2 linked regions of the Anolis sagrei genome follow. The protein of the gene in region 2 purifies or fractionates together with the protein of the main gene of each other region. This does not show direct contact. Links are inferred from orthologs where the notes say so. Each region holds a gene or a part of one and is shown on either strand. Other genes may lie near its edges.

Evidence for each region.
Region 1: the proteins of RCAN1 (region 2) and PPP3CA purify together in Homo sapiens (affinity purification with mass spectrometry; 5 studies listed by BioGRID and IntAct, counting the BioPlex papers as one, with this or other methods). This does not show direct contact. The link is inferred for Anolis sagrei from reciprocal best matches to the Homo sapiens genes RCAN1 and PPP3CA.

What each region holds. Positions count from the first base shown.
Region 1 is NC_090025.1:27,072,187-27,079,876, reverse strand, and holds the start of PPP3CA (protein phosphatase 3 catalytic subunit alpha), read left to right. Parts: upstream 1-4,682; 5' UTR 4,683-5,334; coding exon 5,335-5,392; intron 5,393-7,690. UniProt on the Homo sapiens protein: Calcium-dependent, calmodulin-stimulated protein phosphatase which plays an essential role in the transduction of intracellular Ca(2+)-mediated signals. Many of the substrates contain a PxIxIT motif and/or a LxVP motif.
Region 2 is NC_090023.1:70,562,414-70,569,565, reverse strand, and holds the start of RCAN1 (calcipressin-1), read left to right. Parts: upstream 1-4,150; 5' UTR 4,151-4,436; coding exon 4,437-4,682; intron 4,683-7,152. UniProt on the Homo sapiens protein: Inhibits calcineurin-dependent transcriptional responses by binding to the catalytic domain of calcineurin A. Could play a role during central nervous system development.

The DNA.
Region 1 (7,690 bases), on a different chromosome or scaffold from region 2:
TAATAATAATAATAATAATACTAAGATAAGGAGACAGTACAGCTGTTCCCTTCTTCTCCCCAAGGTCTCCCCACAGTCTCCTCCTGCATCTGGAGGAATTCAGCACCATTCAGCACCCTTTCCTTTAGGGCAGCGTTTCTCAACCTAGGACACCTTTGGGGAGGGGGTCGCGAGGAGGTTTCAGAGGGGTCACCAAAGACTAGGCATGTAGCAGGGGGGAGGCTTGGGGGGCTTCAGCCCCCCCTGAAATTCTCATGGTGGTCCACGAGTAGGCCTTACTGGTACATTATTTAAACTTATGTTTATTCATATCATGATCTGATCACCATGATCAATATATCCCATATACATGGGGGTATTGGGGTAATGATACAAAAGGTTTGCTAGGGTAGACTCTTTCATTCAGACTCAGCCCCCCCCCCAAAGACCATTGTTGTTGTTCATTCGTTCAGTCGTCTCTGACTCTTCGTGACCTCATGGACCAGCCCACACTAGAGCTCCCTGTCGGCCATCACCACCCCCAGCTCCTTCGTCAGTCCAGTCACTTCAAGAATTCCATCCATCCATCTTGCCCTTGGTCGGCCCCTCTTCCTTTTACCTTCTAATTTCCCCAGCATAATTGTCTTCTCTAGGCTTTGCTGTCTCCTCATGATGTGGCCAAAGTACTTCAACCTTGTCTGTAGTATCCTTCCCTCCAGTGAGCAGTCGGACTTTATTTCCTGAAGGATGGACTGGTTGGATCTTCTCGCAGTCCAAGGCACTCCAAGGCAGTCCAAAGACCATTAGAAATATTGGTAATAGTATGGTAATAGTATGAAAGGCTGGGTCTGGAAGCTCTGAACGTTACGCTGTTTCCGCTTTGCTCGAAGGGGAGCGCTGTTTGCGCAACGCTGAATGGAACACAGATATTGTAGAAGGAATGTAAGAGTTCTGTAATGGTAAAACTCTTACCCTAAACCTTACTCTAACCCAGTGGTTCTCAACCTGTGGGTCCCCAGATGTTTTGGCCTACAACTCCCAGAAATCCCAGCCAGTTTACCAGCTGTTAGGATTTCTGGGAGTTAAAGGCCAAAACATCTGGGGACCCACAGGTTGAGAACCCCTGCTCTAACCCTAAGTCTAGCCCTAATCCTAACGCTACCCCAAACCCTAAACCTTATCCTAACCCTCCCCTCCTTTCTATCTTTCCACCAAATGCAACTACAAAGTATATTCCTGCCTCTGTTGCAGAATATGTGTAATGCTCGGAGTTTCCGGACCCAGCTATCATACATAGCTGGGTCCCAGCTATCATACATAGCTGGGTCCGGACCCACATATTTTTTATGGTCTTAGGAACTCTTTTGGCAGAGAAGGCTAAAGATCTCTCTGCCTGTTCTTCTCTTTCTTTTTGGAGGCAGACAGTGAATCTTCCCACCAAAAGCCTTCCTCTGCTGTGATTGTCCAGCCTCTCAGCCAAGGGGAGGGTTGCTTCTGAGACTTCAAGCAGGGAGGGGAGAGCAGGCGTGCTTGGCACATTGCAGTATGGTGTGCATGTGCGGGCAAGGGAGAGCATGTAAGGCTGGAGGGAAGCTCATGCCAGTGAATTCCTTCTCTTCAGCTTAGAAATGGAGTTGAGCACCACCCCCCAGAGTTGGACACGACTAGACTTAATGTCAAGGGGAAACCTTTATTTTTATTATTGCTAATCTAAAACCTGGAACCTCAAGCCATGGCTGATACCGAATAAGGGTACTTCTCCTGGGTACACAGAAGACTTGATCAATGTTAAGGTCTATTTCTCCCAAACTCCACCAGTGTTTACATTTGGGCATATTGAGTATTCGTGCCAAGTTTGGTCCAGCTCTATCATTGTTTGATTCCACAATGCTCTCTGGATTTAGGTGAACTACAACTCCAAAGCTTGAGGTCAATGCCCACCAAACCCTTCCACTATTTTTGTTGGGTCATGGGCATTCTATGTGCCAAGTTTGGTTCAATTCCATCGTTGGTGGAGTTCAGAGTGCTCCTTGATTGCAGGTGGACTATAAATCCCAGCAATCACAACTCGCAAATGACAAAATCAATCTCCTCCAACACCACCAGTACAGAAATTTAGACATAACAGGTATTTGTGCCAACTTTGGTCCAGTGAATGAAAGTACATTCTGCATATCAGATAGTTACATGACGATTTGTGTTGTCGTTCATTCTTTCCGTCGTTTCCAACTGTTTATGACCTCGTGGACAAGCCCATGCCAGAGTTCCCTGTCAGCCGTCACCACCTCCAGCTCCTTCAGAGTAAATTCAGTCACTTCAAGGATCCCATCCATCCATCTTGCCCTTGATCGATTCATAGCAGTAGCAAAACGACAGTTATGAAGTAGCAATGAAAATAATGTTATGGTTGGGGGTCACCACAACAGGAGGAACTCTATTAAGGCGTCACAACATCAGGAAGGCTAAAAAATACTGTTATTTGTGACATTTATATCCCACCCTTCTCACCCCGAAGGGGACTCAGAGCGGCCATATATATGTATGTATGTATGTATGTATGTATGTATGTATGTTTTATATACCGGTCTTCTCACCTCCGAGGAGGGACTTAGGCCGGTTCACAACATGTGTTCATGTACAGTAATATACAAAATAACACAATGCATCATCATTATACATTCAAATATAAGTACAATAAAAACATAATCATCACATTACACAAGCCAAGTTGTCAATACAGTCACAACTCATCGCCATCCTTCCATGTGGACAAGGGTTATTGACTCAATCTTCAAATGCCATATTCCAAAGCCAGGTTTTTATTAGTTTTCTAAAGGTCAGGAGGGCGGGAACAGATCTAATCTCTGGTGGGAGGGAATTCCAAAGCCGAGGAGCCACCACCGAGAAGGCCCTGTCCCTCGTTCCCACCAAACGCGATTGGGAAGATGGTGGGACCAAGAGCAGGGCCCCTCCGGAAGATCTATCTATCTATCTATCTATCTATCTATACATACATACACACATATATATATACACACAATATATATATTATGTTATTAGCATAGTACGATATCAGTATTAAATGTTGCTATATTGTACTATACCATTATATTTAATATTATTAGTAATATTACATGTAATATAAACATATTATTATTATATATTATTAGTATTAGTATTATATTGCATTACATTATAATATAATGTTATAGGCTATAGCTCCGTTTAACCATACCCAAACGTCAGGAGAAAATGCCATACAGCCCGGCAGGCCCGTAGCCAGGATTTTGATTCGGGGGGGGGGGGGTGAGTTTGATTCGGGAGGGGGGCTGAATCTGAGTGAAAGAGGGTCTACCCTAGCAAACCTTTTATTTATTTATTTATTTAGAAGTTTTCTATACCGGCCTTCTCACCTCGACGAGGGACTCAGGTCAGTTTACAGCATATATAAAATACAATCATATAAAGAACAACAAGTGCAAAGTCATTACATATTAAAATAGTAAATACAGTACAATAAAACATCATCATTACAATTACCTAAGCCAATCGTCAATCCAGTCATGGTCATATTCATACTCGTAGTCACAGTTCATCATAATTCATCACAGGGAGAGGTTCTAGGTTCAGTCCTCGAATGCCGCATTCCAGAGCCAGGTTTTTAGTGATTTCCTGAATGTCAGGAGGGAGGGGGCAGATCTAACCTCTAGTGGGAGGGAGTTCCAAAGCCGGGGAGCCACCACCGAAAAGGCCCTGTCTCTCGTCCCCACCAACCATGATTGTGAGGGTGGTGTGACCAAGAGCAGGGCCCCCCGGAAGATCTTAATAGCCTTGATGGTTCATAGGGGAGAATCCGTTCGGACAGGTAAACTGGGCCAGAGCCGTTTAGGGCTTTATAGGTCAAAACCAGGACTTTGAATTGTGCCCGGAAGCTGATTGGCAGCCAGTGGAGCTGGCGTAATAGGGGGCTTATGGTCTCTGTACCCTGCTCCTGTTAGCAATCTGGCTGCCGCAGGTTGGACTGATTGAAGCTTCCGGGCAGTCTTCAGAGGCAACCCCACGTTGTATCGTTACCCCAATACCCCCATGCATATGGGATATATTGAGCATGGTGATCAGATCATGATATGAATAAACATAACAGTTTAAATAATGTACCAGTAAGGCCTTCTCCTGGACGACCATGAGAATTTCGAGGGGGGGGGGGGCTGAAGCCCCCAAAGCCCGCCTCACCCACTACATGCCTGCAGCCCGGAGAACTCACAGCAACCCAGAAACCTCTTTTCTCAGACCCCCTTCTCCCACTCTTCCCACAGCCTCTCAGCCCACACGCTTCCCCTCGCCAGCTTCCAGGGCCTGGAGGTGTTGTGTGTGTCGCGCGCCCGTGCGCGCGTGTGTGTACATATCCATCTCTGTGGGTGTGGGTGTGTGTGTGCGCGCGCGCGCTCCCTGGCGCATGACGGCGGCGAACACCTGAGAGAAGGAAGGAAAGCAGGAAGGCGGGCAGTAAAAAGGGGGGGGGGGGAGGGGGTGTCGAGAGAGAGAGAGCGAGGAAGCCTTCCAGAGGCGGAGGGAACGAAAGAAAGGCGGGCGCGGGCTACCCCTTTGACAGTGATTGGCAGCTCGTCCCGAGCCAATGGCGGAGCCGCTCCCGTTTTGGCCGCGAGGAAGGCGGTCCGTCTAGGGAGGCGCGGATAGGCTGCGCGTCGGAGCGGGCTGCGTTGAGTGAAAGGGAGGCAGGAAGGAAGGAAGGAAAGGAGGAGGAGGAGGAGGAGGAGAGCCCCTGCGAAAGAAAGCAAGGGGAGGAGGCGAGGAAGGAGACGGCGGCGGCAGCAGCAGCAGCAGCAGCGACGACGCGGAGGAGGAGGAGGAGGAGGAGGAGGCGGCGAGGGACGGACGGATAGACGGAGCAGGCGAGGGGTCTCTCTCCTCCGCTGCGGACGGATGCGTTGTCCCGCAGCCCTTGTCGCTGGGTGACTGACGCTGCGCCTTTCCCCCCTCCGGGACTTGGATCTCTCTCTCTCGCTCCCTTCCGTTTCTTCGCCTTCTTCTCTCCGAAGGGAGAGGCTTGATTGACGTCCGGAGCGGGGGGCCCAAAGCGAGCACCGAAGAGGAGAACGGAGGAGAAGAAGGAGGAGGAGAGGAGAAAGCGAAGGAGGGACCTCCGCGGAGCCCCAGAAGGGAGCCGGGGCCAGAAGGAAGCCCAGAAGAAGGAGGAGGGCTAGAGACGCGCTTTGCTGCAGCCGGGGGAAGGGCTCCAGCCGCCTCCAGCTTTGTGTCTGGCGCGGGAGAAGCGCCTTCCTCCTCCTCCTCCTCCTCTTCCTCCTCCGCCTCCTGTTCGCCAGGCTGCTGGAAATGTCGGAACACAAGGCGCTGGATCCGAAGTTGTCGACGACGGAGAGGGTGGTGAAAGGTAAGAAGGGGAGCCGAGGCGGGAGAGGGGGGGAGGGGAGGCTTGGGCTTTGGGACCCGGCGCTTGAGGGGGCTGCCAGGCGGGAGATTCCCCCGTGATCCCCATCTCCTCCCTTTTCTCCCCCTCCTTCGCTTTCGGGGGAGACACAAAACGGGGGGGGGGGGCTGCGGCAGGTCTGGTTGCGGTTGCAAAATATGGGTAAGGCTTGTGAGGAGGAGGAAGAGGAAGAAGAAGAGGAAGAGAAGGGGGAAGAGGAGGAGAAGGGGAAGAGGAGGAGGAAGAGGCTTGTGAGGAGGAGGAAGAGGAAGAAGAGGAGGAGGGGGAGGAGGAAGAGGCTTGTGAGGAGGAGGAGAAGGAGGAAGAGGAGGCTTTGTGGGTCTTGGAAGTGGGCACCGAGCGAGGAGTGGGAGGGAGGCAGGAGGGAGGATGCAGCCCACTCCTGCATAGGGTGGCTCCGTGACCAAGGCCAGGCTGGACCTGGAGGCTCCCTTCCTTCCTCCTTTCTCCCTGCTGCAGCCCCTCCATAGCTGGATCCTCCCTTCCTCTCTTCCTTGGCCCTCCTGCAGCCTCTCCATGGCTGGCTTCCATGACCCTCCAAGGATCATGACATGGCACGGGCACAGAGAGAGAGGCACACACTTGCGGCTCCTTCCTCGCCTTCCGCCTGTTTGCTACATTGCAGCAGTCTTTCTTCCCTCCTTCCTTCCCTCCCTCCACTCGCGAGAGAGAGAGGCAAGATGGGGGAGGAGGAGGAGGAGGAGGAGGAGAAGGAGGGGGCAGGAAAACCCTCCGTTTCCTTCTTTGCGGCTGGAGGATCCGGCGTGTGTGTGTGTGTGTATGTGTGTGCGCGCGCTTGGCATCACAGGCGGTTTTCTCTGCCCGCCGCCCCCTTTTGCCAATTCCTCCGGGCCTTTCCGCCTTCTCTCCGCCCACCTCCGAGCTGGAGGAGAAGGAGAAGAAGGGGGAGGGGGAGGAGTGGGAGTGGGCCTGGGCTCCTCTTGGGCGAGATCCCTTCCCTGAATCCCTACCCCGCCCGCCTGCAGAGAAATGCCGCGCCCGCGCTGCATCTCCAGGTTTTGACAGCTGGGGCTCTTCCTTCCTTCCTCCTCCTCTCCTCCCTCCCTTCTTTTCCTTGGACACAGCTGCTTGCTTCTGATTAACAGGCTGCTTTGATGTGAGGCAAGAGAGGACCCCCTTCTCCCCATCTTGATGCCTTCCCTCATTTTAGAATATTATGATTATGATTTGGGCATTTCTCTGTTTCCAAGGCAGGCGAGCCTTGCTTCTGATGATGATCAGGCTGCTTTGAGATGTGGCAAGAGAGGACCCCTCCCACCCTTACCCCATCTTGATGCCTTCCCTCATTTTATTATGATTTGATTTGGGCATTTCTCTGCTTGCAAGGCAGTGGAGCCCAGCCCACACCTATCCACTTGCCACTCTTGCCACCCTCCATTCCTCCTTCCCTCTCTTTGTCTGCCTGTGCCTTCTCTTTCTCTCCCACCCACCTCCTCCTCCTCCATCCATCCATCCTGATGGGAGCAGGCGAGGCTGTGTCACTGCAGTCGCAGGAAGGATCTTTGAGGGATGCCATCCCTTCATGGCTTGGATCTTGGATCCCTGCCTTTCTCTCCAATCTCCTCTTGTTCCTCTCCTCTTCACCCCTGTTAGATTTCATGGGGAAGATGGCAGATGTGCCACCTGGGCAATCCCCTTCCAGCACAAAGGGAACCCAGTGCAATCCATGAGCAGCTTCCCAGCATCATTTGGGACTCTCCCTCCTCCTCCTGCAACCTACATCTCAGTGATGCTTAGCCATCTAGCAGACATGTTTGGCAGTGGTGCATGTTCTTATGAACATATAGGGTACTTGACCATTCCATCGAAATAGCTTGTTTTCTTTTTTGCTTTGCTGCATCAGTGTGTGTGTGTCTGTGTGTCTGTGTAAAGGAAAAGGCTATGTATGGCATTGTGGAGAAGCCACAATGTAAACACACCAGCCTTAGGTCCTATCATGTACAATCTTCATTGGCTGATGTTGGATTTACTTTTGAGTAAATATGCCTAGGTGTGTTGTCGAAGGCTTTCGTGGCTGGAATCACTGGGTTGCTGTGAGTTTTCCAGGCTGTATGGCCATGTTCCAGATGCATTCTCTCCTTATGTTTCACCCACATCTATGGCAGGCACCCTTAGAGGTTGTGAAGTATATTGGAAACTAAGCAAGGGAGGTTTATATATCTATGGAAGGTCCAGGGTGGGAGAAAGAACTCTTGTCTGTTGGAAGCAAGTGTGAATACT
Region 2 (7,152 bases):
ATTTCATAAAACATAGGATCAATCATAGGACTCATGACAGATGGCCACACAGCCTCTTTTTAAAAACCTCAGAGATGGAGACTCCACCATGCTCCAAAGCAGCATAATTCCACTGTCAAACAGCTCTTACTACCAACATTCTTTTTATGTTTAGGTAGGATCTCTTTTCTTATATTTGAAACCATTACTCTCTATTCTGGTCTCTAGAGAAGGTGAAAACAAGCTGGATCCATTTGCAATATGACATTCTGCAAATATTTAAATATGTCTATCATGTCACCTTTGAATCTTTCCTTCTCCAGACTATTCAAGTTCTCAGTTTGACTTGGAGGTCTGTATAGTAATAGTAGTAGGAGTAAAACTTTATTTATATTATAGTAGACCTCCTCACAATTACATCCCTGTTGTTTCTTTCTCCTTTAATTTCTACCCAGATCCTCTCAACTTGACTTCCAGGAATTAGGTCATGAGGCTCTTCACAGGTGTGAAAATCTTTGACCAAAAGAATGCTATGCCTCCTCCTTTCCTGTTTGCTCTTTTTTCCCAAAATAGATTATATCCCTCTATGATCACATTCTAATCATGAGACCCATCCACCAGGTTTCACCTAATAGATTTGTTACAGTTCTATTTTGACTGTCCAGCAAATGCCGCTGGAGTGGGGTAACAACAATAACACAATGCTACATAAAAATACTGAAAAACAAAGCAAAAAGAATAAACCATACACTGTCTCATTCAAAGGCTTAATAAGCAAAGGTAGTGCCGAGTGTGTGACTTCATAGAAGTCACATTCTCTCAACCTAAGGGGAAGGCAATGGTATGCTTCTTCTGAACAATTCCTTCCAAGAAAGCCCAGTGAGAATTTCACTTTAGGGTTTCTATGGGTACAAAAAAAATCGAGGGCACAAAACCACAATAATAATAGGAACTATTATTGTTCCTATTCCAAGTCCAAGAAAAATTGTTCTTGGACTTGGAATTCTGATTCTGAGATCCCCCAATTTCCCCATCATCTTTTGTGTACCTAGGGTCCTTCCACACAGTCCTATATCCCAGAATATCAAGGCAGAAAATCCCACATTATCCAAGTATGGACTCAGATAACACAGTTCAAAGCAGTTATTGTGGGATTTTCTGCCTTGATATACTGGGATGTAGGGCTGTGCGGAAGGGCCCCTAGACTAATTGTCACACTAGAGAAAAAATCCATTTAAAATCCAGTTTCTGCCTCCTGTAGAATTCTGGGGTTTGTAGTTTAGTAAAGCTGTTAAAGACTCCTCCCAAAATTACAAGCCCCAAAATTCTGCAAGAGGCAGAAACTGGATTTTAAGTGGATTTTTTCTCTAATGTGATGAAGTAGTAAGCTAGAACAGCTTCCTTGTATCAGAAGAGAATATGGAAAGTAATGTTTTAAAAACAGCTTATTGGCATTGCTTGTTGTGTTGTTTTTTGTTTAGTATTCCAAAAGTAATATCTTGCCAGAACTCATCTTTATATAATACAATACAAAACTGACCAGCACAAAACATAATTTTAAAAATAAACCTCTTTTTCTGTTTCTTAGTTTTCCTTACTGGAAGGGAAAGAATGGTGTAAAAGAAAAGGTAATTCCAGTAAAATGCCTAGAAAAATCCTTTTGAGAAATAATCTTAAATCATGACTATAAAACATTAACCGCTACACCAATAAAGGTAATGTGATTCCCAGGTGTAGTACTTTTGAATATAACTTCAATGCATCATTGTTACTCACAGAGTAAGCAGAAGTAACTACTTTGCTTGTAACTCATTAATTCCCAATTCGGTGTCAGATTAGCAAGGTAAATGGTAGAGAAAAGGACCCTTTCTTTCCACAAGATAAATAGGATGTAGAGAAGAAAGGAAGGGGGAAGCAGAAGTTACAAGGGTTGATTGCATCTTGGTTCAAATATTAGAAAGAAAGGTGGAAAGTTCAGCAGGACACAGCATAAATAAGGAGATCAGATAAAGAAGAATGGAAATGGGCGAGGACTCTTTCACACTCTTCTGCTTACCAGACAGCTATTTAGATGCCATTTCCTCCATATAACACAATACACATAATGGGCCATCTAGACAATAGCATCAGTTTTTCCGTTCTTAAGTTCTTCAGAGTATTTGATGTAGGAAATCAGATACAAAGAAAAAGGGCCTGTCATCACTTACTTTACTTCTATAGTATTATAGGCCCTGGTATCTGTTGTACTGTGTAAAGCAGTGGTTCCCAACCTTTGATCCTCCAGTTGTTTTGGACTTCAGCTCCCACAAATTCCTAACAGCTGGTAAACTGGCTGAGATTTCTAGGAGCTTAAGTCCAAAATAACTGGAGGACCAAAGGTTGGGAACCACTGGCGTAAAGGCATCCCAACTGAAAAGAGTGCTATATGCATTGCTCACATATTTATCTTGGTTATTTATTTATTGTGTCAAAAGAAAATTGATAATACAGTTATAATGTGTAGAAAAACCACAAACAAAGTTACAAACTTGGCATTCTATTAAATACCCTTTGACCAGTAGCTGGCCACTTGGAGTGCCTCTGGTGTTGCTATAAAAAGGTCTTTCATTGTGCATGTAGCAGGGCTCAGGCTGCATTGTGGTTTGATCTTTGCCACAATCACATGTCGTGGACTCCACTTTGTAACCCCATTTCTTAAGGTTGGCTCTGCATCTCGTGGTGCCAGAGCTCTGTCTGCTCTGTAACTTCCAAGTCACCCAGTCTTCTGTGTGTCCAGGAGGGTCTCTCATCTGAATTTTTTTTTCATGTCAGGAGCGACTTGAGGAACTGCAAGTCACTTCTGGTTCGAGAGAATCGGCCGTTTGCAAGGACGTTGCCCAGGGGACGCCTAGATGTTTTACCATCCTGTGGAAGGCTTTTCTCATGTCCCAGCATGGGGAGCTGGAGCTGACAGAGGGAACTCAACCCGTTCTCCCCGTATTCAAACTGCTGTCCTATTGGTCAGCACTGAGGTTTAACCCATTGTACCAGTGGTATCAGCCACTTTTGGACTCTTGCTTGCTGAGGTGTTTCTGCAAGTATTTATCCTGGTGTAGGAAGTAGAATCTACTTGAGGAACATTTTTTTCCCTAATGGATGCCTACTTTGAAAGTACTTCCATTAGTTGATAGGGAACAAAATCTTGGGAGAAATTATTTCCATGTGTGTATTTCCTTAGTAACCACTCGGTGGCGGTGTTTGATCACCTATTTAAAATATGTTTTTCTTTTAGAACAGTTTTTTTAAATATTCTAATCTATTCCAGGGTTTATAGCATCATAGTCCAGGCTATATGGCCATGCTCCAGAAGCATTCTCTCCTGATGTTTTGCCCACATCTATGACAGTAATCCTCAGAGGTTGTGAGATCTGCTGGAAACTAAGCAAGTGAGGTTTATATATCTGTGGAATAATGTCCAGGGTGGGAGAAAGAACTCTTGTCTGTTTGAGGCAAGTGTAAATGGAAGTGTAAAAAAACAGGGGAATTCCAATCAAGAATCAATCAGGGCCAGCTAATGCCTCCCCACAAAGGATCCCCCAGGCAGCAACCAGCCAGGCTTTGAAGCTAAAAGGCTACTAAATGCTAACCAAGGTGACCAATTGCAATATTCACACTTGCCTCAAACAAACAAGAGTTCTTTCTCCCACCCTGGGCATTCCACAGATATATGAACCTTACTTGCCTAGTTTCCAACAGACCTCACAACCTCTGAGGATGCTTGCTATAGATGTAGGTGAAATCTCAGGAGAGAATGCTTCTGGAACATGGCCATACAGCCTGGAAAACTCACAGCAACCCAGTAATAACCTCTGAGGATGCTTGCTATAGATGTAGGTGAAATCTCAGGAGAGAATGCTTCTGGGACATGGCCATACAAACTCACAACAGCCCAGTAATAAACTGCCTCATAAAGCAATGTAGATGGGGCCAGTATTAAAGCAACCTTGAAGGTACATCTCCCGAAAGCGTCTCTTCAAAGGGCCAAGAAGGGGGGAAAACGGCCGGCGGTGGAGACCTCAGTAAGGCAACACAAGCTGGAGGTGCCCTCACCCAAGATGGCGGAGGTGGAGTCGGGACACTTCTAGGCAGGACACCGGTTGAAGGCGAAACGGAGCACTCTGATTGGCGGAGTAGGCGTCAGTGCGGGGCGAACGCACGGTGCCCTCATCCAAGATGGCGGCAGGAGAGGAGGAGGAGGAGGCGGAGGCGGAGCCGGGCCCCTTCGAGTTGGGTCACCTGTTGAAGGGCCCGTCGAGCGGCGTGATTGGCTCGCCCCAAGAGCCTGCGGCCTCCCTTCCCGCCTCGGCGTCGATGGGATAGGGTTAAAAAGCCGAAGCCCTGGGGGCGGCGAGGCCTCGCTCTCTCTGTGTGTGTCTCTCTTTGAGGTACCACCCCCGGCTCCTCCCCTTCAGCCCGGCATGGAGGGGCTCGAGAGGCGGCGCGAGAGGGAGGAAGAAGGAGCGGCGTCAGGAGGAGGAGGAGGAGGAGGAGGAGGAGGCCAGGAGGCGGCGGCGGCGGCGGCGGGAGAGGCCAAGGCCGCGGAGGAGCCTCTGGACTGGACCTTCGTCGACATGGAGACGGCGATGTCGCTGCAGGACCTGCCCGCCGCCCTCATCGCCTGCAACCTACCGCTGGCGGTCTTCTTCCCCGACGGACCCAGCAGGGTGAGACCCCCAAGGCCCGCCTGCCCCACCTTGGCATTCATGCTGCAGAGGCGCTTCTCTGGCAAACTTGGGCCCTCCAGGTGGGTTGGGCTTCAACTCCCACCATTCCTAACCGCCTCAGGCCCTTTCCTTTCCCCCCTCAGCCGCTTAAGCGGCTGAGGGGGAAAAGGAAGGGGCCTGAGGCGGTTAGGAATGGTGGGAGTTGAAGCCCAACCCACCTGGAGGGCCCAAGTTTGCCTGAGCAAGAGCATGCCATTACCCTCAAGGCACATCACAGTGACTATGCCTTTCACTGTGGTACTGGTCTGCAGGATTTCCAGGACACAGCTAACAAAACATTCAAATGAGCTGTTCAGTAGTGGAACTCTCTGCCCCAGAGTGTGGTGGGGGCCCCTCCCCTGGAGGCTTTTAAAAAGAGGCTGGAGGGCCTCTGTTTAATTCTTCCTGCTTCTTGGTAGGGGGTTGGGCTGAATGGCCCACCAGGTCTCTTCCAACACTATGATTCTGTGATAATCACCACTGCAGATCCCTCACTCTTTTAGCCAGTCATTTTATGCGCACTGTTGTGGTCATTTAGTCAACTGCCACAAATACTTGGGACCAATAGAACTCTAGAGTTGGAAGAGACCCTAAGGGCCATCTAGTCCAATTATCAGCCATGCAGGAGCCCCCGGTGGCGCAGTGGGTTAAACCCTTGTGCTGGCAGGACTGAAGACTGATAGGTCACAGGTTTGAATCCGGGGAGAGTGCAGATGAGCTCCCTCTATCAGCTCCAGCTCCACATACAGGGACACGAGAGAAGCCTCCCACAAGGATGGTAAAAACATCAAAACATCCAGGCATCCTCTGGGCAACATCTTTGCAGACGGCCAATTTTCTCACACCAGAAGCGACTTGCAGTTTCTCATGTTGCTCCTGACACGACCAAAAAAACAAACAAATAAACAGCCATGCAGGGAGTCCCAGTTAAAGCACCTCCGGCAGATGGTATCCAGCCTCTGCTTAAAAGTCACTAGAGAAGGAGGTCCTACCATGTTCCAAGGCAGCTTATTCCACTGACGAACGGCTCTTACCATCAGTGGCTTCTTCCTATTATTATTATTACCTTTATTTATATTTCCCACCTTTCTCCCCTTGGGGACTTGAGGCAGCTAACATCTATCCCTGGCATGGGCAAACTTGGGCCCTCCGGGTGTTTTGGACTCCAACTCCCACAATTCCTAACAGCTGGTAAGAATTGTGGGAGCTGAAGTCCAAACCACCTAGAAGGCCCAAATTTGCAAGACCATGCCTTTATCTTCAAGTCACATCACAGTAACTATTCCTTTCATTGTGCTACTGGACACTAACCACAGCTAAACATTAAAATCACCACTGCAGCCCCCTTGCTCCTTTAGCCAGCCATTTTATGCTCACTGTTGTGGTCATTCAGTCACCTACTACCAATACTTGGGACCAACAGAACCCTAGAGTTGGAAGAGACCCCAAAGGCCATCTAGTCCAATCCTCAACCATGCAGGGAGACCCAGGCAGAGCACTCCCAGCTATCCAGGCTCTGCTTAAAAGTCTCCAGAGAAGGCGGTCCCACGATACTCCATGGCAACCTATTCCACTGATGACCAACTCTTACCATCAGGAAGTTCTACTACTACTACTTATTTTGATTTATATTTCCTGCCTTTCTCCCCATAGGGACTCGAGGCAGCTAACATCTATCCCAGGGATGGGCAAACTTGGGCCCTCTGGGTATTTTGGACTTCAGCTCCCACAATTCCTAACAGCCAGTAGGAATTGTGAGAGTTAAGTCCAAAACACCTGGAGGGCCCAAGTTTGCCCAGGCCTGATCTATCCACACTAAAGAGTTAAAAAAGAGAAATACAAAAAATAAAAAACAATTAAATAATAGTGTGGTAAAGACAGAATGAAAATACAGCTAATACATTAAAATGGCCTTTAGAACTCTTATCTCCTCTCCCAAACCCCACCCACCCTCCCTCCCCTAATGTTTAGGTGGAATCTCCTTTCCTGCAGTTTGAGACTATTGCTCTGTGTCCTAGTATGTGTTGTGATATGTTTCATGGCTACTCATATTCTGTCCTTTTAAATACGTGTTCTGGCTAGTCTATGTAGCACTGAAACCCTTTTAAGCCAATCCCATCAAAAATTATGCAAGTTTTCAAGATACCAGCTTCTTTTCTTTGGGTATGCTATTTTGAAAGGTGAGAAAGGGCGCAGAATGTGTCCTACCCAGCATGTGGCCTCATGATATAACACACCTGCAGGGTATTATACTGACAATTCTCCTTATATAATAAATGCATAACAGTTTGCATAAATTTATTATAGCTCATGGTATGGTGTATATGTTCTTATGGGTGCCACATGGCACATGTTATTTTACCGCATGGCTGGTAGGCATAATGTGCAGTGAAGGAATAGAAGAAATGTTCTGTGGAAAATTAGACTCCTT